Struthio camelus: one gene and its partners. The protein of the gene in region 1 interacts with the protein of each later gene in a pairwise test. Links are inferred from orthologs where the notes say so. Each region holds a gene or a part of one and is shown in the gene's direction. Other genes may lie near its edges.

The links.
Region 2: the proteins of HDAC4 (region 1) and SFN interact in binary tests that used the Homo sapiens proteins (3 or more experiments, as listed by UniProt). The link is inferred for Struthio camelus from reciprocal best matches to the Homo sapiens genes HDAC4 and SFN.
Region 3: the proteins of HDAC4 (region 1) and CDR2 interact in binary tests that used the Homo sapiens proteins (3 or more experiments, as listed by UniProt). The two-hybrid records come from large-scale screens. The link is inferred for Struthio camelus from reciprocal best matches to the Homo sapiens genes HDAC4 and CDR2.

The regions. Positions count from the first base shown.
Region 1 is NC_090947.1:2,714,972-2,722,876, reverse strand, and holds the start of HDAC4 (histone deacetylase 4), read left to right. Parts: upstream 1-4,510; 5' UTR 4,511-4,602; coding exon 4,603-4,789; intron 4,790-7,905. UniProt on the Homo sapiens protein: Responsible for the deacetylation of lysine residues on the N-terminal part of the core histones (H2A, H2B, H3 and H4).
Region 2 is NC_090964.1:6,831,618-6,837,734, reverse strand, and holds SFN (14-3-3 protein sigma), read left to right. Parts: upstream 1-4,546; 5' UTR 4,547-4,724; coding exon 4,725-5,465; 3' UTR 5,466-5,554; downstream 5,555-6,117. UniProt on the Homo sapiens protein: Adapter protein implicated in the regulation of a large spectrum of both general and specialized signaling pathways. Binds to a large number of partners, usually by recognition of a phosphoserine or phosphothreonine motif.
Region 3 is NC_090956.1:9,339,033-9,346,874, forward strand, and holds the start of CDR2 (cerebellar degeneration-related protein 2), read left to right. Parts: upstream 1-4,838; coding exon 4,839-5,301; intron 5,302-7,842. Other genes in the region: transmembrane protein 180-like, read right to left, coding at 1-532, 1,291-1,443.

The DNA.
Region 1 (7,905 bases):
CCTCTTCTGTATAGCCTTAGCAGAAAGCCTAAGTCAATAGGCAGCAGCTAAAAGGTATCCTGTAGATAGGTGAAGCTTTCTTATATGCATAATTGAACGGTGATGACATTATTTGGACTTGCATATGTGTCCTTTGCTTACTTATTTATGAGCTGTGGTATGGAAACACATCAACGTTAGTGGTGGTGAATCTCAGAAAGATATTCGTTAATTTTTTTTTTTTTTGGGTGCTCTTAGCATCTTTGTAGCAACTTTTGATTTGATCTTGGCAGAGAAACAGTAAGAAACCAAAAACCACTGGAAACTGGCTTCGTTTAAGGCTGATACAAATGAAATTGGCTTGCAGACTTTGTTAGTTTATTATACTGTGACCGGGTTGCCCTTGCCTGTTTTCAAATGAAATGTGAGTTTAAATCTGCAAGCCTTTTCAGCTCCGTAAAGGAGGGTGTGGCTGATGTCTCCTTGCTTCAGGAAGAAATGAAATTTGCTGCTGTCTTTTGACGTTGTGAAATTAACTGTTTAGCTCCCACTCATTCACTGAAGCACAGACTTAGGGAATTAATCACACTAACTCGTGCATAGCTTCTGCCTGGCCCTTGTCCTTTGGCAGGAGGCACAAAGGATACTAAATGTCTTTGTAAACAAAGTCTACTGGTAGAGGAGTAAACTTCGCTGGTGCTGGTTTCAAACAGTGTGTAGTGTGCTTGCAATGAAACCTCAAATTTCACAGCAGATGAAGCCTGCTGAGTAAAATACATGCATCTCCCCTGCTGCTTATATATCTGATTTTTTATAGTAATTCTTTTAAAATTTTTATTTATTTATTTTAAATAGTAACGCTTATTTTCCAGCTTGCTGCCACTGCTAGAAAAGGTGTGCTTTATCTGTGACCTTAAGCGTGGCATAGAGTCAAGAGGATCTGTTTCACATCTCATTCTGGGGCAGCTTCTGTTTTCTAAATCGTTGGGGTCTTTCCCTGGAAAGAAGAGATAGCTGAAAGAATCCACTGGCCTGTTAGACTGATACATAAATCTTTTTTGGCATGCTTACATTTCCCCATCACTTTCCCCCAAAATCCAGCATTTCCAGTGTTTCACCCGGTCTTTGAAGGTAAGTCAACTGTTGCAAGGTTTTGGGGAATGCTAGGGAAATTATCATTGCAGGACATTTTGTCTCAGTGAAGAAGGAATTGGGGCCAGCTTTATGTTCTAGATAGCTATTCAGGATATGTAGCTTCACCTGCTATAGGTCTTCTACTTAAAGATCTTGTTGCCTTATAGTTAGTTGCTCCACACTGGATAAGAAGGACCTGCATGAAATGGGGCTGTAGTCTGTTTTGCATATCCGTGGAACACTTGGAATATGATGATTTTTGGACTGTGTGTCTGATGTATGTTGGAAGAATGTACTGGAGAGAGATGAGTTTAGATGTTGTAAGGAGAGAGTAGCTGGGGATGTTCTACTGTGAATATTAGAAGATGAGGTAGTTTGATCTCTGACCAATGCTAGTTTAGGCTTTTATACTGTCTTGCATCTAATGTTTTTTCCTTACAGATATGATGCATTGCCTGTGTGCACAATCCTTGCATTTATAAATTTCTTACTCTGAGTATTCATGGAGTGCAGATGTTCATAAAACAGACATTCATGTCTTGAAAAATCCTCTAGCCTGTGGTGAATGGGAAGCTTTCCCAGGTAAGCTAGAGAACCAGTTTCTGAATAAATGAACCTTTCATCATTTAAGGAGGAAAAAAAAAATGCTCTGATTGATGCACAGAGTGCCTTCCAAACGTGAACACAGGGTAGACGAATGCAGGGCTGTCTCCTCTGCAGCCGAGCTCTCCTGCTTAAGCAATTGGAAGCTTCCTGCAGGAACTCATTGGAGCGGTGCAGGAAAAAAGGCATGGGATGTAATGATTTGTTGGTGTATGTGCAAACTGTTTGTCCAGTGAATACAAGGATCTGTTCAACCTGAAGCAGTATCAGTGCCTAATAGAGTTTTCACGATATAATGGGAGTTACTACTACTGCTAAATGTTTACGGATATGCATATGCAAATATCTGTATGTATCTCCTGTGCAGAACAAAGCATCTTGTCTCTGTGCCCCGTTTGTCAGAGCGGAGGTGAAGGATTGAAGTGATGTTGGCGAGGACAACACTGGTTAATCAGAATGGCTCCTGTGCACGAAAATATTTTGCTTATTATAAGACAGAGCGATAGATTGAATTGAAGTTACTCTTCTGAAACGTAAAATGAAAAAATGCCTCACAGCAACTCAGTGTTAAGAGTTGGGCTATGAAGTGGCAAATAACTTCTCACAAACTGTGGAGGTTGCAGCAATACATCTGTAGAGCCTGTATTAACTTGGGAGATGTAGAAGTGGAAGAGCTTTCTGCACACATGAATAAGGTGGTGGCTTTCAGGTGTAGAGGGTGTAATACTGGATCTGCAGATACTTCTGTTCAGGTAGGCAAGCTGCTTTAATACTGACTTGTCAGTTGGGACACTCTAGGTTTTAAAACAAAAGTTTGGATGAAATCTTTTGAACTGCAAAAGATGTCAGGGATGTGAACATATTTTCCTGAAAAATATAATGCCCTTAGTTTCAGTTACTGTATTTAAAATCGATGAAATTTGTGTTGGATTTGTGGATATTTGAGTGATCAATCTCTGCAATACAGCATTCTTAGCTTTTCTGTTCAAAGAAACTTTGGTTTAAATCTGATGTTCTTGAAGGTGGGCTTAGGTGTTAAAACTCTGATCTGCGTTCTGTTCCATGGAGCATGGCCTTGGAATTTAACCATGCTTTCTACAGCTCATTTTGGAGTAAACTCATATTTCAAGGTGTTTATATTTGAATTCATTGCAAGAGAGCTTCCAAAAATAATTTTGTGTTAGGTGAATGTATTGTGCTACTGCCTCCACTTCAAGTGATGAGGCTTCTCTAACAATGCTCAGTATTAACTTTTCCGTTTGCTTGTTTACTGCTGCTTTTATGTGAATTCCTTAAAAGGCTCTTGAAATGTATCTCTGGTTGTTCTTTTGGAGTTTGGGAAATCACAAGTGCTTTAGTAGAATGCTGAGATTTAATTAAACTCTGTAGGATGGCCTTCCAGCCTTAGCCAATTTCACTTCCTTTCTCTGGAACGACTCTTTCCTGCAATGTGGTTGCTAGGCTGCAATGTTCATGTTTTTTTCATCTCTTTTTCTCTGAGGAACCCTGTAGCCAGGAAAGCTGAGCTGCGCAAAGACCCAGCAACTTGTTACAGGGGACAGTCGTCCATGTCCATGCTTAACTGCAGGTGTTCACTTTGTGATAAAGACCACAAAGCTAACCTGCTATGTAGACAAATGAATTGTTACAACCAGTGTTGAAAACCTGCTATCCAGTGGTTGCATTTATTGCAGTCTGCTCCGCTCTGCAGTATGTACCTTGTATGCTTCTCTTCTGAGGTCTTGAAAAGCAGAATTGAGTTATCTTGGCTGTGGAAATAAAGTGAGCAGGAGGGAACTTCGAAAGAGACGGGATAGTCCTCTGACTGCATCAACTGGTTCTCTCTGCTTCAGTTGCAACAGATCTATATTCCATATTGCTCAACAGGCAGTGTTTAGGTAAGCATGGATTTTGCAATGCACAGCCAGCAAAATTAAACTGCAAATCACTAATGGGAAAACAAAGTGTATGGGTGTCATTGCCCCTTTGCGTGCCTGCTGCCCCCCTCCCCCTGCCTCCGGCTTCTAATTGTGGATGAAAAGTGAGTTTCAGGGCCCCAAGCTCTGAATATCTGCTAACTAAACTCCAGCCTCAGTTCTCTTCTTTAAGTTGTAATTAAATTTTAAAGTGGAGAAATGATAAGTAATCTTAGTGTAGTGGACACTCCTTATACTGTAGAATTATATTGGAGCTGCTGGGTCCTGCTCCAGTGAAGCTCTGAAAATCTAATTGATTTAAAACCTATGAGGAGTGTACTGGCTGATGCCAGCTAAACACACATATAAGTGTCTCATTTTAACAGCTTGACAGATTCATTTCTACCTGTTTATAGCAGGTTCCCAGACTTTGTTTGCTCAGATACCATAGTCAGGGTGATGTGGTGTAGCGGGTGGCAGTGGCCGTTGCAGGATGTCAGGCTGCCTGTGTATGCAGGAGATGTGTTTCCTGCCCTGTTCCTGGTATGGAGGTGGCAGTGGTGGTAGAGGCAGCTCCCTGCTCCTCAGTGAGCCTCAAGTGACAAATAAGTGCAGAAGGATTTTTTTTCTCTCTTCTGAAGACAGTTGCCTACATTTCATTTGTGTGCTAGACAGTTGCCTGCATTTCATTTGTGTGCTGTGCCTCAGTGATCGGTGATAAAATCATGAAGGTGAGTTTTGCCCCGAACGAGGCATACTTCTGACGGCACCGCATATGAAATAGTGCTGTACAACGCATGTGGTTTGCCATGGACCTTTGACCACCTCACCCCTTGATCTCTTCCCGGTAGTCAGCCTGTATTTCTGGTGCTCCCGACCTGAGCAGTGATCGCTGCAAGAACGTTCGGTCTCAAGCGGGGCTCCAGCTTCCAACTGCAAGCATGAATTTTCCACCGTCTCAAAAAGCAAAATGCTTCTTCTGACATTCACGGATTGGTCCGGTACTAGACTGTTTGAGGCCGATCTGTTTGCCACCCTTCAAAGCGATATGTTAGAATCCTACAGTGTTGAAAAGAGAGCGGTGGTTAATTTTGGGCACGCTGCATTTGCTTCCATGGCACAACATAGTTGTATCTTCTCTGCAGGGATGCAGAAAGGTAAGGATACGTTTTCGGGAAATAATAACCCAATGAAGTAGAAGTAATACATTTACAGGAAGTGGACTGTCCTTTTTGCAAACTTGGTATGCAGATTCTGTTTTCAGTAAGAAAATTCAAAAAGACTAGTGCAGATATGCTTAAGCCGGGATTTATAGTTAGTGAAATTGAGAAAAGTGGCTTTATGTTCTTTAAACTGCAGAAGAATAGCATGGAAACAGATTAGCATGCTGTTCTTCTGGCTGTATACAGCTGCATGCAAAAGCTTCAGCAGCTGTATTTTCTGAACATCTTTACAAAACTCACCTAGAGTTTCAAGTTAAAGACCTTGCAGCTGCTAGCATTTTTGCTGTTTGATAGCAGCTGCTGTATTGACAAGTACATTTTTATCATGGGAGATGCTAATGGAGTGGGAATGAGCAAGGAACAACTGTTTATATAATCCCGTGCTGTATAGATCAATTACCATGAAAACAAGCCGTTCAGTTGTCTGCAACAACATGCACCTTGAACTGTTTCATGCTATAAATAGTGGTAATGCTGAACAGCATTGTCTTCCAAGAAGTGTAAACCGAATTGCCTTTGTGTTCTTTTGGTGTAAGCACGGAAACGTGAAGCTGCTCGGTTAAGTCAAAGCAGTTCCCATAGCAGTGAAAAGAAAGTGTCATGATAATCTCTCTGCCCCTGTTCATTGCTACTACTACTACTAATTTCATGTATAAAATCATAACACCTCCCCTCTCCTTTCTTCCCCTAACTGCCAAATTAGTATTCAAGCACTATGAATGAGTTACCAGGCAGCAGTCTTCTAGATGTCTTGTAGAGACTAAAACGTTTTGTGCTTGTAGAAAATGCTTATCAGATTTATGCGAAACATTCCGAGTTAGTGATTGTTTCAGTTCTGATTAAAGCTGCATGTGTAAGAAACACGCTTGGAGTCAGCTCTAAAGATGCATATTGGCATGGCAGTCACAATACTTGCTATGTTTAAGCGGCTCGCTTTTCTTTACCAAAGGCAAGACTGTTGACGGTCGTGCAAAAAAACCCAAACAAACCGGTGCTAAGTTTCAGCTACACAAAGTACAGAAGAGTTGAGGTGTTGCAGCCTTGAACCACAGTATGTGTAGTGATACCTGTTTTTTCAGTTGCTTTGTCCTATTTTTCCTCTTAGTCTAGTGACTCATTTTACAGGCAATAAAGCTTTCTTTTTTTTTCCCGGGTCATACTGTGAGCTCTACTTTCATGATAACCTTTTTACAGCCAGGTAAAGATATTGATGACCATGTCAAGGACTCTAAAATAGATGTGCCTTTGCTTCCTTCCAGTAAATTGGACCATTTTCTTTACACCGCAGCTGGGATTTGGGAAGGTCTTACAGGAGCGTTCTCACTGGAGATGTTGGACAGGGGAGTCCTAGGTTGGTGTTTGCTGTGCTGTGGGATCATCTGTTCTGACAACTTCCCTCCCCAATGGCAAGTTAGCACAAACAACTTTTCTTCTCCTAATCATCATTTCTTACTCCTTCCTGTATTTCTTTTTCATGTTTGAAGTGTTTCTAAAGCAGAGGTTCCCTAAGGTCGGAGAGAAGAGCTCAAGCAAAATCTGTTAGGGGTTTTGATTTCAAACACCATTGTTGCTTTAAATTACAAAAAAAAAAAAAAATCCATACCTCTGATTTGATAATCCTAAATTATCCGTTTGGAACTCATGCAGAGGTGTGAGCATGGCTCCTTGTACTGGTATCTCTCTCATCTGTCATTTTGTTTGTTACTATTAGATATCGCACTTGGCAATAAATTATGTAGTTCTGTCCTTGCTGCTTAACAAGTTCTTGCCAATTCTTAGTGTTAGTTAAGGGGTAAAAAAAAAAGAAAAGAAAAAGAAAAAAGAAAAAACCCACCTCCCTTTTGAATATACTTTACGTATTTATGTCACATAAATGTTTTATTGACTTTCGTCTTTAAAAGTCTGCATTATTCACAAGTGGTAAAGCTGTAAGAGCTATCCTGGTCATTGCAAACAAGTGTCAATAAAACCTCCAACCACATTAGTTTGTGTGTGCTGTACTTTGCTGTACTTTCTTTCTTTCTTTTTCTTCTTTCCCCATAAATTTGAGCCCTTTCCAAAGAAGACAGGTACTTGGGAGAGGGGCAGGTAGCTATCACTGTGCAGGATTTAAAAAGAAGCGAATCTCAGCTAGAAAGGAGAACCTTTCTAAATGAACAAGACAGCTTTTTTTTCCCTACTTGTCATTAGAACCGTTTGTTTCTAAACAAGCCCGTTCCCACCGCCTTCATGCCAGGAAAACAAAACGAAACACTCAAAAACCAGATCCCCCAAACCTTGAGTTGTTCTGTGGCATGCATGTAAAGCCTGTAAACTTCTCTTGTTGCCAGTACCTAAATATTGCGAGTAAGCTCTTGGGCTGCCTTTTGGTTTGGAAAGGTGCTTTTAGACTTTTTTTTTTTTAATGTACAAAGAAACTATGTGTATGTGTAGCAGGATGCCAGTCTCATCTGGAAAACTGTGTTGAGGGAACTGAGAAGCACGGTTCAGATAGGCTCTGTTTAAGAGAACTATTTTTAAAGTGTATTCTTCAACTGTGTTAAACTTTTTTTTTTTGTTCAAGCCTTCATTTATATCCTGGAAAGAGCACTAATTCAAAATAAATACCAGAAAATACATCTCGGATGACATTATATCTTTTCTCTGCTAAAAAATGGCCAGTGTAAACATTTGAAAAAGTAAAACAGTTTTAGGCCACTCTGCCTGCACTAGTATGTTTTGTGATACCCAGTTCCCTTTCCACCAGTTTTACAGGGGACAGCTGCAAATAGCAAACATTTTAGCTTGACATGCATCCCTTAAACAAACTTGTCTTGCTTTTTAAAATCTCTGCACAAACAGCATTCCCCAAGCCATGCTTTGTACCCGTGTAGGAACCCAGTGGAAAAACAAGTGGGGTAGGAGGGGGGCTCTTCAGTGAGGTCTCCCCCATAGCTCTTCAAAGATACTTGACTGCTACTTACGGTTTAGATGTGTCCTGCCGGAAGGTGCTGAGCTGCGCGATGCTGGGGATCCCAAATTGCCTCCAGCTTCTCTGTGGGAGTCCGTGG
Region 2 (6,117 bases), on another chromosome or scaffold:
AAGGACGCAGCGGAGGCCGGGTCCGCCGGCCGCCAACGCGGCGAGTTCTCTAGCTGCAGAACGGCCGGACTGAACCCGCCGGCAAAGCTTAGAGTCCAGTAGGATTTGCACTCTATTTATGCCTTTTACTTTTGTAACAAAAATAAAGTTTCTCCTATTTACTGTACGCGAGCGATGTGGCTTCTGCTGTAGCAGGCCAGGGGCGTTGCTCCCTGCGGCTCGTGCCTGTGCATGCTCTCGCCGCGCGGGGTGGGGGAGCCGAGCCCCGGCGAAGCCGGAGAGGGTTTGCCTGCCTCTGCCTTTGGCTGTGTTGGCCACAAGGCCGGGAGCCAAGAACTCCCTAAACTCGGCTTTGGCGCTAACTGTGGCCTTAAGGCAACTCTCAGCCTTCCAGAGCTTTGCGCCCTCCTGCAAAGGGGAAAGGGCGCATGCCTCGCTCCGAGGACCGGGAGAAGGAGCATGGGCAGCGCCCGGAGTCCGCTGGGCACCCCAGCACCCCTCCGCTTTTGTCACAGCAGCCTTTGGCCAAACTCGCCCCCCTCTGAAGGGCTGGGAGGACTCGAGAACGGGCAGGTTCTCCGCAGCCCTGGGAGCAGCTGGGCTGTTGAACGTCCTCCCAGCGCCCCCGGGGATGGTCACAAGCGTCTCGCTCGCTGCGTGCAATGACGGAGCTGCTCGGGAGCCCAGCCCCAGCTTGCCTGGAGCATCGCGGGGCGCAGCAGGGAGGAGACGCGTAGTGGCCCTCGGTAGCGTTTCCTGGGGGTTGAGTCCTTCGCCGGCCCCTTGCTGGCGAGGTGCACGTTGCAGCACGCTCTCCCACGCTCGGAGGTGCTTTCCGGGGTGAACTCAGCGCGCTAATGCTAGAGCTGAGCTGGCCCTGCAGCCTTTGCCTGAGTGGCGCACATGGATCCGGGGCTCTTCCCTTCACCCAGCCTCTTATTTTTCATGAAACCGGTAGAGCAGAATGTTTTTGCAGCCTCTTAGCCAATTTCAACCCGCTCTGGCAGCCGTTCAGCTCCTGTTGGCAGGGGCTAACGAGACACCGGAGCTACTGCTGAGCCATTGGCTGCCTGGTACCAGCTAGCTGGGCCGGCGGGGGCCGGGGGTCGCTCTGAGCTGGCCCCTGCGGAGAGGTCCCACTCGGGGCAGAGCCGCCGTGGCTGCATAAATAGCCGAAACGCCAGTGCGGCTGGGAGCCGGGCTGCCGAAGGAGCAGCCCAAGTTTAAGGGCAGCACGCTGAAGCTGGGCTGGGTCCAGAGGCGAGCGCTGACCTTGGGAAAGCGCCGCGGCGTTGGGGAGGTGAGGCCGGGGCTGGCTCCCCCGGCACAGCTGGCTCCCGGCTTGGCACCCGGTTAGACGGGGCCGGGGTGGCCAGGGGGGGATGAACATGGACACTGCAGCTTTAGCGCTGCGAGGGATGTAATCTGCAGGCCTGGAGACGGAGCTGGAGCCTGCGCAGTCTAGATTCCCCCAGGAATCGCTGCCCCGCGTTTTTGCAATGGAAAGCTGCGGCTTTCAGCGTGTTTCGGCGAGGAGGGCTGCAGCGCTCGGCCGGCCGGCCCCCGCGCGGGAGCGCTTTGCGCTCGGCTGCGGACCAGCAGCGCTGGTCTCCAAGGGTTTCTAGGGGTCTCGCGCGTCTCCGGAGCGGGGCGGCTGCTGGCTGGCTCCGCACCGAGCCCCGCGGCTGCCTTCCCCTCCGCAGCTCGCCTCCGAGCGAGCAGGCCGGAAACGCGCTCGCTTAAAGCCAAATTGCCGCCTTCTTTCCGAAAGTGCCCTCGCATGCTTTAGGGCCGTGTAGTCTACTCCCACGGTGGATTACACTAATCTGGGGCGGGATCCTTAATTGCCTGCCGAGGCCCTGCACAGGGCGCTGCTTGGGGCTAGCCGAAAAAAGCAGCCGCGGGAAGGTGTCGGGGCCGCGGGAAGGTGTTGGGACCGCGAGAAGGTGCTGGGACCACGGGAGGATGTTGGGGCCACGGGAAAATGTCGGGGCTGTGGGAAGGTGTCGGGGATGCGGGAAGGCATCGAGGCTGCAGGAATGGGGTTGGGCTGCAGGAAGGTGCTGGGCTGCAGGAAGGTGTTGAGGCCGCAGGAAGGTGCTGGGACCATGGGAAGGTGTCGGGGCTGCAGGAAGGCGTCGGGGCTGTGGGAAGGTGCTGGGACCATGGGAAGGTGCTGGGGCTGCAGGAAGGTGTCGGTGCTGCGGGAAGGTGCTGGGGCTGCGGGAAGGTGCTGGGACCATGAGAAGGTGTCGGGGCCGCGGGAAGGTGCTGGGGCTGCAGGAAGGTGTCGGGGCCGTGGGAAGGTGCTGGGGCTGCAGGAAGGCGTCGAGGCCACGGGAAGGTGCTGGGGCTGCAGGAAGGTGTCGAGGCCACGGGAAGGTGCTGGGGCTGCAGGAAGGTGTCGAGGCCACGGGAAGGTGCTGGGGCTGCAGGAAGGTGTCGAGGCCACGGGAAGGTGCTGGGGCTGCAGGAAGGTGTCGAGGCCACGGGAAGGTGCTGGGGCTGCAGGAAGGTGTCGGAGCTGCGGGAAGGTGTTGGGGCTGCGGGAAGGTGTCGGAGCTGCGGGAAGGTGTTGGGGCTGCGGGAAGGTGTCGGAGCTGCGGGAAGGTGTTGGGGCTGCGGGAAGGTGCTGGGCTGCGGGAAGGTGTTGGGGCTGCGGGAAGGCGTCGGGGCTGCAGGAAGGTGTCGGGGCTGCGGGAAGGTGTCGGAGCTACGGGAAGGTGCTGGGGCTGCAGGAAGGTGTCGGAGCTACGGGAAGGTGCTGGGGCTGCAGGAAGGTGCTGGGGCTGCGGGAAGGTGTCGGGGCTGCGGGAAGGTGTCGGGGCTGCAGGAAGGTGCTGGGGCTGCGGGAAGGTGTCGGAGCTGCGGGAAGGTGCTGGGGCTGCGGGAAGGTGTCGGAGCTGCGGGAAGGTGTCGGAGCTGCAGGAAGGTGTCGGAGCTGCGGGAAGGTGTTGGGGCTGCGGGAAGGCGTCGGGGCTGCAGGAAGGTGTCGGGGCTGCGGGAAGGTGTCGGAGCTACGGGAAGGTGCTGGGGCTGCAGGAAGGTGCTGGGGCTGCGGGAAGGTGTCGGGGCTGCGGGAAGGTGTCGGGGCTGCGGGAAGGTGTCGGGGCTGCAGGAAGGTGTCGGGGCTGCGGGAAGGTGCTGGGACCCCTCCGGCAGGCAGGAACCCAGCAAGGCCAAACCGCCTTCTCCAGGCACCCAGAGACTTATCCAGGCGGAGAGCTCCCGAATGCCGTTGCCCCAGCGGGAAAGGCGGCGGTGGGAAGGGAGCCGGCGATGCCGCCGCCGCAGGGATGCGCTGCACGTGCCCAGCCGGCCGGGGCGGCGCCGGGGGGTGTTTGCAGCCATGAGTAAAGCGGCGGGTGACGCTGATAAAACAGTTGGCCTCGGCCGGGCGCCGCCACCCTGCCCTTCCCGCACGGCTGCCGCACGCGCGGCGGGCAGCCCGGGGGGTGCAGCCGGCTTGGCCGCGCTGCCTCCCGGCGCAGTCAGCGCCCTGCGTGTGGGAACAGGCTTAATCAGCTCCAGAGCGAAACTGCAGCGTAACATGAAGCGCAGATCCTAATCTGGCCGGCGCGTTTCCAAGGGCAGCCAACACCTGGAGCGAGCCGGCGGGTTTTTTTTTTTTTTTTTTCCTAAAGTTAAAAAAAAAAGAATCATTTCCATCGCGTTTGGAAGAGATCGGCAAAGTCCGCGGCGAGCCGTTCGGCCGGCGGCGCCGCGGGGGGAATCGCAGCGAGGGGGGTGGAGGGGCCCCCGCTGGCCGGCCGGGAGCGGGCGAGAGGCCGAGCCGGGGGCGCCGGGCACCTCGCTCTGGGGGCCCGCCGAAGCCCCAAAACGCCCAGAGTCGTCCCCAAAAGTGCAGCCTCCCGTCGCTCTTCCTCGACCGTCCTGTTTCGAGTTATGGGGTGTTTTTTCGGTTGGGTCCGTCTGGCTGCTGGCAGCCGGCAGCCTGGTAGTTCAACGAAACGAGCTGATTTCACCTTAATTTGGGGGCGGCGGCGGGGGGGGGGGGGTGAGATGGGAGCCGGGAGCGCCGGCCGGGGCTCAGGCAAGCGGCTCAGCCCCGGCTCCGTTTCCCACCTGCCCGGCGAGCCGCGGCGATTCCCAGCCACCGGCGAAAACCGGCACTGATTCGTTGATAGGCTTTTGGGGTGGGCGGCGGGGGAGGAAGCCCCCCCCAACCCCTTTTCCACCCTCTCTGCCCCCCCGGCCCGTTTCCCGCGCCGGCCGGGCGGCGGGAGCCGAGCGCGCCCTGCAGCTCCTGCTGCCGCCCGGCAGCGCCCGGGTGCACCGTTCTGGGGCTTTTTCAAATTTAATTTAAAATTTTTTTTTAATTTGGTCCGCCGCCAGCGGTGGGCCCAGGGCCGGGCCGCCCCGGGGCGAGGGCCGGGCGCGGGGCCGCCCCGCTCGCCCCCCCCCCTTCCCCGGCGCCCCCTTTTTTGCCCGGCGGGGCGATGAATCACGGCAATTTTGCCTCGCAAGGGGCGGCGCGGCGGGGACGGGGACGGGGACGCGGGGAAGGAGGCTGCGCGCGGCCTCCTGGCTCCTCCCGCTCTTGCTCCAGGCTCCGACGCCCGGCCAAAAGCGAATCCCGGCGGCGGCGCTCGGCAGAGGCTCCGACGGCTCCCCAAGGCGACCGGCCCGCTCCTCGCCGCTCCGTCTCCCCCCGCGCCGCCGCTCGCCCGTCCACCCGCGTCCCCCCTTCCCCGCCGCCAGCCATGGCAAGAAACCACCAAGTGCAGAAAGCCAAGCTGGCCGAGCAGGCCGAGCGCTACGAGGACATGGCGGACTTCATGAAGGCCGTGGTGGAGCACGGGGACGAGCTGTCCAACGAGGAGCGCAACCTGCTCTCCGTGGCCTACAAGAACGTGGTGGGGTGCCAGCGCTCCGCCTGGAGGGTCATCTCCAGCATCGAGCACAAAACCGAGGAGGGCGACGACAAAGCGCAGCTGGTGAACGAGTACCGTGAGAAGGTGGAAAAGGAGCTGAAGAGCGTCTGCAACGTCGTCCTGGGCCTGCTGGACAAGTATCTCATCAAGAAGGCCAGCGACGCGGAGAGCAAGGTCTTCTACCTGAAGATGAAGGGAGACTACTTCCGCTACCTGGCCGAGGTGGCCACCGGGGATGACCGCAAGGAGACGATAGACAGTGCCCAGAAAGCCTACCAAGAGGCCATGGACATCAGCAAAAAGGAGATGCAGCCCACGAACCCCATCCGCCTGGGGCTGGCCCTCAACTTCTCCGTCTTCCACTACGAGATCGCCAACGCCCCCGAGCAGGCCATCTCGCTGGCCAAGACCACCTTCGACGAGGCCATGGGGGACCTGCACACGCTCAGCGAAGACTCCTACAAGGACAGCACCCTCATCATGCAGCTGCTCAGGGACAACCTCACGTTATGGACAGCCGAGTGCGCCGGCGAAGACGGCGGCGAGGCCGGCGAAGAGCCCAAGAACTGAGCGACCGCCCCGGGGAGCCGCCGCCGGCTCCCACCTCCTCCCTCCCCACCTTGTTCTCTGTTCTTCCGTCTTCTGCCTCTTTTTTTTTTTTTTTTTTTTTTTGGGGGGGGGTAAGGCATCTCGGCTCCCCGTCCCTCCTCCCCGGCAGCCCCCCCCCCCCCAAAACCGCCTCCCGCATCCCCCCGGCACCGCGTCCCGGGGCGGAGGGGGGAACAAGCGGCAGAGCGGGGCGGGATGCCCACGGGCTCCCGGCGGCTCCGGGGAGCGGGGGGGCGCGGGGCGGCCCTGTCCTTCGCTTGCTGGCGTGCCTTGCTCTGCGGCTTCCCCTTCGCAGCGGGAGGAGGTGACGGGCCGTGGGGGGGGGGGGGGGGCGAGGGGGGGGGCCGAAGCCTCGGTGCATCCCCAATAAAACTTCACCTGCACGCCTGCCTCTGTGCTCTGCGTCGTCGCTGCCCCCCGCCGGGCCCCGGGGCGAGGAGGAGGAGGAGGAGGAGGAGGAAGGACAAGTTGGAGCGGGGCAGGTTCCCACGCAGCCGGCACCCGGGGAAGTAAAGGGGCATCCCGGAGTGGGACGGCGGTGACGGGGGGGGGGGGACACCAGTGGTGGTGACCCCAGAGTGGGCTGCAGTGATTCATGCCCCAACCCCACTGC
Region 3 (7,842 bases), on another chromosome or scaffold:
AGGAGAGAGCTCCATCACCATTTTCCAGAGTAGCGCTCTCCGTAAGAACTTCTCTCTGCTCATACTGACTTGTGCTATATTTGCCTGTGTAACACATACAAGCTGTTGCCAACGCTGCAACCAAAACAGTAAAAGCCTGAAAACAGGCAAACTTTTCCATGTTGTCTGATATTAGACCACAGAAGAGAATGCTTGTTGATCCAATTAATGTTGCTACTTGGTTATATTTAATAAGCTGAAGCCTACTTTCATGTCTTGTGGAAATTTCTGCAAAGAGCGCGCATTGTGCTAGAAGCACAAACGTAAGCAAACCATCAAAAGCACATAAAGCAACAATAAGGTGAAGACCGCTTAGCCAGTCACCTTCCTCATACTGTTTCCAAGGAAACCAAGGAAGCAAAAAGGCTAACGCATACAAGGGAGCTCCATATAAAATTGAAAACTGACGTCTTGAGCAGCATGCGAATTTGGAGTTGTCTTGAATATACCCAAAAAGAGGATCATTAATGGCATTCCATATCATAAATACCACCTGTGACAACAAGCATGAAAAACAACAGAATTTATCATTAGTGTCATTCTTCTGCAGAGGCTGTGCAAACACACAAGTAATAAACATTGTATTTATGCAAAATAAATCTCTATTCAAAGAATAAAAAGAGAGGGAAGCTTGCCAGGTCAAAATGGACTCAGGAACACATTTCCAAAGGTATTTAGATGTTGACAGTAAACGAGTAGCTTTGAAAAACAAACCGAATAGGCAGGAAGGTGCCCAACTCCAGTTGAGATAAACCCCTGTCTCCAAGACCTCACTCCCTCAAAAGCTTATGTATCTGGGCTTTCATCTCACAAGCTCTTACAGCAAGTAATTTAAAGCATGAGTTGGCCATCATATTCAGGAGATCATTTAGGTGCTCAAGTTGCTCACATGAGTAGGAACTTGCAGAAAAAAAGGCAGTATTTAAGTACTTAAATAGTCCATAGGAAAGCACTGAAGTCGAAGGTCTCCATGAAGCTGAAGTGCAAGATTAGTTTAGAACATTACTTCAAGTTATGAAAGGTAAAAATCTTTCCAGCAATGAAAGTCCAGAGATTTTTTAATTTAAAGACTGTAAACAATGCACTTTAAGTATGCCTTCAATTGCTCATGCATTAACTAAATTTAACATGGAATTTTTGTATAACTATTTGCAATAAACTCAAAAGGAATTCATTAATAAAAATAACTTTGATATGCCAATACAGACACAGAGCACAACACAGAAATCAAAATATTCCGCTGTACAATACCTGTGCTTGATGAAACGCTACTTCTGAAATTTTGTATTGGTTTAGGAAAAGCTTAACGTAGTAGAAATTAAAGATACTGTTCATCATTCCAGCACCTAATGTAGTCATGGAATATGCCAGTGCATTAGGATGAATTCCCCAAACAAACTTCATTTCCAAATTGTGCAAGTCTCTTCTTTCTCTAGTTACAAAAGAAGAATTACAATCGTTGGTAGAAACATTTTCCAAAGCAAAAAGACATGGGAGATTTGCTTGTTTCAGAGAAGCGAAACTAGTGTCTTGGATGAGAATTTCCCCATCCTCAGTCACTTTTTTGTTAAACGCGCAACACATTTTACTGAGGTACGAGACACTGAGCACAAAACTGAACAGGTGTAAAAATTAAGCATGGCATTTCCCAATATAATCAGTCCTTAAAAAACAAAAGAACAAGTAGACAAAATGTCAAGAGCACATAAAGCAACTGGTGCACAGACCCAACACAAAAGTCTGCTACTGCAAGCACTAATCTTGAGGTAGAGTTCAAAGCAACTGCGTACATTTTACATCCTTCCTGCTAGCTACGTAGTTCTACAATTACAAAGAACTGGGTAGGAATGAAGTGACTCAATTCATATTCCTGTGTATTCCATTGTTATGAATGTCAAATTCAGCATGCGCTTAGATGAACATTTATTTTAAAATGAATTCAAAGCTTTGTCTTCCTATTTTCTAATGTTACTAGTTAACAAAAAGGAGCCCAAGTCATGGAAGCAATATTTTCAGCTAATAAACTAATGAAACTTACTTAAAGCAATCAAAATACCTTTTAAGAAACATTTTCGTACTGGAAGAGAACTTGTGTAAATAAAATCCAGAAAGTAACTCATATAGAGTAACACAGGATTTGGAGTATATCCAAATAACAGATTCAGCCCAAGGATATATAGTTCCTTAATATAGCAAACAGATCTTCAGCCAACAATTTTGTAACATGTTGGCTTTTTCCACATATCTAGCATTTAGCTGAAGTATGTTTAGTATAAACCCTCCAATGAAAATAGCTAGAGGTTCTGGAGAACCTCTACCTTTTAAAGCAGAGCAATGAGTACCTTTATGGTCCTTGACCAGATTTGATTCTCTAATCCCAACACGCCAATACTTCTCTTAGATACTCTGTCCTTAACTGAGCCTTTATTCATCTGTATATTTGTTCAAAAGAAACTGTCTGCCATAAATTCGGCTATTACTTCAGGTTCAAATCTCAACCTTAATTAAGGACACTAACTCCGAACTTTGCAGCCCGTGTCCCATCAATGGTCCACACTTCACTCTTGTGCGCTATACTAACAATTTTATCCTAAAAGCTATTTTTCAAATATTCATCAAAATACACGGTTTGAATATTTGATTGTTCAGCTTGATAAACAAATCTATTAGCAATTCCTTGAACTCCTCATAAAATGATCATGAAAGAAACAGGAAATGAAAAGCACGGCTGTTTCGAACCTTCCTGCTGCCTGTGGTTCACCAAGTGGCTGAAGACAGGCTGCTGTGAGGAAAACAGTAAATTCTTCATCACCAGGTGAGGGCCAGGCAACAGACAAAGCAGGGGACTGGAAAATTGTCTATTCTGGCTAAGGCAGAATATGGAACAGCAGTTCTTCCATTCCCTCCAACACAGAAAGTGAGGTATTTTAAGAGCGGTAAAACGAGGGTGTATTTTTGTACCTCTATTTAAGATGCTCAACTATGAAACAATAAGCAAAGAGGAAATAACTCCTCTTTACAAGTAAGGAAAAAAAATCAAGCTGAAAAACAACTTGATCAAAGTTTTTTTTTTTCCCTCTAAGGCCAACCTTTTCTTTTTTTTTTTTTTTAAGCACATGACTGAATTTGTATATACTTGAGAATGACAGTGATATATGTTTTCAAAGTTATTTTTCATGGAGCTATGGCTATAGCAGTATTTCCATGTCCAAGGGATGAAATTTTGCATTTTTGTAACAAGTTCTGTTTCATAAACTATTACCGAGAAACCTAAAATGGAAAATAAGGTTATTGAAACGATCCCCATTTAAAATGTTTATTTTAGAAGTATAATACTATAAATTGTGAGCGTCATTATAGAAGCGTGCTACTGACAAGCGCCGCATTTTAAAATGAAGGGCGTATTCAAGCCTTCACAACTACACTTAATGTAGTATTTAAGTAGCAGATTGGTGTAGCAGATACTAGGGCACTTGGAAAAGTAGGCATTTCGCACGTATTTCCTTGTGCAAGACAGCACGGGTTTCCCAACAGGAATTGTGGGCCCCTCGCCTCCCTCAAATTCCACGAGCACCAAGAAGAAACGTGCTTCGCGCTAGCTTTACCTGCAAACTAGTACTTCAAATTTTTCCTTCTTCCAATCACATTTGACTCAGTTCCTTCCTACACACAGATAAAAAAAAGGTCTCCTCAGCTTCAGAAAATTGTGAAGTAGTATTTCTTTCACAAAATCCTTCTCACAAGGGACAAACAGGCCTCGAGTGCCATGACTAACTGCAACGCACAGGACCTGACACAACGATTTACACTAATTGGCACATCTGGTCCTGTACTTTGTTTATGAAACAGGCTCAATTAGAAGTTGAGGTGCCACACTTCCTCTCCCAACAGACGTGCTCTTTTTAATTGTACAGCCGGGGGATCACGCACGACCATCCCCTCCCTCTTCCCAAGAGCCAGCCTTTATGTTGAACACGCTGAAGAGCAAAGCGCTGACATTCTGTGACTCAGAGAGGGCGAACCAATTTCGGGAATCTCTCACAGAAACCCAGCGCCCGGCGCCAGGAGGAGGGAGCGGGCAGGGCCGCGGGCCTCCGCCGCCCTGCCCCGCCGCGACGCCCTCCCGCAGCCCCGGCCAACGGGCTGCTCACAAACGCCTCCCTCCTCTCTCCTCCGTGACTCGAGCCGCGCTGAAGCAGAGCTAAGGAGAGTCAGGGCTTTCCTCGTCCCCAGCCGAAGGCTGCGGCAGCCGCAGGGGCGCCGCCGCCCTCACAGGCCGCGGGGCTGCACCTGGCCGCCGCGCTCGGAAACCTGCCGGGCTGGAACCGGGGCTGTTTCTCTGTGAAAACCGGGACTTTCCGCTGGGCGGCTTTCCGCTGGGCGGCTCCCTCCCCCTTGCAAGGGCAGGAGGCGCGGGGCGGAGGGCCGTTTGCCGGCGGGACACCCGCTGCAACTGGGGGGGGGGGGGAGAAGGGCATCGCGGGCGCTTCCCACGGCGCGCCCCGGGGACCCCCGTGCGGGGCGACCGGCACCTCCCCTACGCCCGGCCCCGCCCCGCCTGACCCACCCCCGGCCGTGCCAGCCCCGCTCCTCCCGGGACCCCACCCCGGAGAACGCCACAGAGCGCTCCCCCCGCCGTTAACCCCCTCCGCGGCGGCGGCGCCGCCGCCGCCCCTTCCACAGGGTCTAACCGACCTCCTCCGACGGGAGGCTGCGTAGCCCGCTCCCGGGGCGGGGCATCATCAACTTAGGCCCACCTCCTCCCCATTCTCACTGGCGGTTCGATCCGTATTCGCCTGATGATTGGCCCACGCTCCTTTCGATCCGCCCGGCGAGCGGCTCCCCATTGGCTGCCCGCGGGGGAGGTCAGGCCGTTCCGTTTGAATCGCGGGGAGGCGGTGGGCGGCCGGCCGGCCGGCCGGCCGGGCGTAGCTGCCACGTTGCTGCCGGCGGCTCCGCGCAGCCCGGCCAGAAGGGGGAGCGGTTCGGCAAAGTCCGGAAACGCTCGGCAATGGCCGGAGGCGGCTTTTAAGGAGCGGCGCGGCGCGGCTGCCGGCTCGCTCTGCCTCGCTCCGCTGTCGCTGGGCGCGAGGGGGCTCGTTAGCGCCAGCGCCGCCGCCCCGCCCTGCCCCGCCTCGTCCCCATCGCCGTCCTCCGGCGGCGCCGGCAGGGGAAGGGGCGCGATGCTGGCCGACAGCCTGGTGGAGGAGTTCGAGATCCGCGAGGATGAGCCCTGGTACGACCAGCAGGACCTGCAGCAAGGTGAGGCGGGCGGCGGCGAGGCGCAGGGCGGCGGCGGGCGCCGACCCCGGCGAGGGGCGGGCGCGGCGGGAAGGGCGTGAGGGGCCGAAGGCGCCGGCGAGGGGCGGCGGCGGGAGCGGAGCTCGAGCCGCCTCGCGGCCGGCGGGAGCGCGGCGTCCCCCGGCGCCCCGGCAGCGGTGAAGCCCGCGGCCGTCTTTGTTCGACGGGGCGGGAGCGCGGCCGCCCCCTTCCCGCCCGCCCGTCCTCCCTCGGCGGCGGGCGCGGCCGGCGGGGCTGCACCGGGCCGGGCCGAGGGGCGCGCCGCGGCACCTGCTGACCGCCGCTGCCCTCGCTTACTTGCCCGTCTCCTACCAAAAATCCTCTTGAGGACGGGGTGGGGGGGGGGGTGGTGGGAAATCCTAAGAAAAGCGCCATTTCGCGTCCGAGCGCCCGGGCGGCGTGCCGCTCCGCCGCGGCGGGAGGAAGGTCGCAGGCAGGCGGCAGGTCCGCTCGGGCTGCGAGTCTGCCACGGACGCCGGGTGCCAGACCCGCAGCTGGGCTTAGCCCTCTTTAGAACTGGTATTTACTTAGTTCTACCTCTTTTTTCCTCTGTATTATTATTATTTTTTTTAAATCCTGAGGTAAGTTGGAGTGGCCAGCTCGGAGCCCTGGCGTGGCTTCCTTCAGACCTGCTCCAGACCTACGCTTTTGGCTCTTGCGCTGAAGTTCAGGCTGATTCTTGGGGTTGGTGGGCGCTATTGTACTCTCAACCATAAAGAAAGATACTTTTTAAAGCTCGCTCCGGTTGAGCAGTTCTCACACTGAGATCAAACAACAGCGGAAACTTCCCGAGACGGGAATAGGTCTCTAATTGTATGTTTTGACTGTAACGTAGCTAACTTTGGAAGCTCTGTTTAGGTGCTCTTTGCTCAAAACTGATGTTTCCCTGGCTATGGTTTATACACCAATTGATTTAAATAAGATTCTGCAACAATAGTTTGCTGCTGAAGGGAAGAGCTGAAAATCTGAAGGTGTGATTTAGCGATGTTTACTATGTCAGTTATTTATTGAGTAGAAAGAAGACCTACGAACAGACTTCAGTGTAATGCATAGTGACTACTTGCCTTATTTACGCTCCTTTAATTCATTTTAATAATAAAGTGAGTGAAATAATCACCATTTGCGCTTGTAAGAGGCAGTATTCCATTCTAGAAGTTCGTCCCTTTTGAGGGTTAGTTAATTAATTTTCTATCAACATTCAGTCTTTTTCTGAGGATTATCTCCTTACAAGCCTAGACGGAAGTGACTAATAGCCTTGCCAAAAGGGAAAGGAGAAAAACGAACTGAAGGGCAAGTTAAAACGCAAAGATGACGACTTAAGGGAATGTCTTTGAAGTGTTCTTTATGCTACGCTCCTGGAGTTTGAAAGATGCTCTTCATCGTGCTGAAAGTACGCAGTACTGACGTCTCTGCACAGAGTAGCAAGAATGCTTATCAAGGTGTCTCTACGCTTTTCACAACTTAATCAGTGCACATTTAAAAACTGAAGAGTATGTTTGTGAGGAAATCTACAGTGTTAAGCATATAAAAGCCACCTCCAAACAAGCCTGTAGTCCCTGTCCGTCTTTGAAATCTAAAATTCGGGGAGGGTTTTGGCCGAACTTTTGACAGTCTTTGTATATGCTGGAAGCTTTTCCCTTGACAATGGGCTTTTCTGGCATTTTGTTCCTGAAAATGGAATACTCCTGGCGTTCTCTAAGGATGGGAACAGCCATCCCTCCTCCTGTAAGGTCATATTTTGCTGCGGTATGCTGACCTTTGAGAAAGAATTCTCTTATGGCTGCTCGTTTACATCTTGCTGTTTTTCACTTTAATATCAACAAAACAGTGGGTTATCTGAACACAGAGTGAGGAATAGCTCAGTAAAATAAGGGCTTACTTCTACACTTAAGTGAACTTCAACAGACTGACTTATGTATCTTACACTACCAATGCCTTCTGCTATTGGAAAGAATAGGATTACTTTGCATTGAGAGTTCTCCGAATCATTTTGTTAGGGGAGTCATGAAAAAGTGGAAGAGAAGCATCTTGGTACTGTTTTAATCTTTCTTTCCCAATTATAGTAACGCTGTCGGTAGAGAATGTGGAGGAGCGTTGATGAATGATGGCTGTTTAACACCATGGGCATATCATCCAAATCTTGTTTTGATTTGGGGATTTCAGATGGAACAGTTGACTACGAGGAGTAGGACTGATTTACTAAAATCAAGCTCTTAAAATTTGCACCTACGTGCAGCACAGAGGCTTTTAAGAATGCAAACTGTATCTTCATGGTGAAGAACAAAGGCACCTGGGTGTCTGTTATGCGACTTCAACACATAGCTGTTAGTTTACTGAAGTTTGCAACAGAAAATGCAGTGTGCTTCTAATATGGTACAGCAACTCTTAGAGAGGTGTAAGTTAACTTTTTCCTTCTGTATCTGGAGAACAGATGATATATTCTATGCCTGACTTTTAAAATTTGCAGTTTCAAAAGAAAAAATGCATCTTGTGCACTCTCCT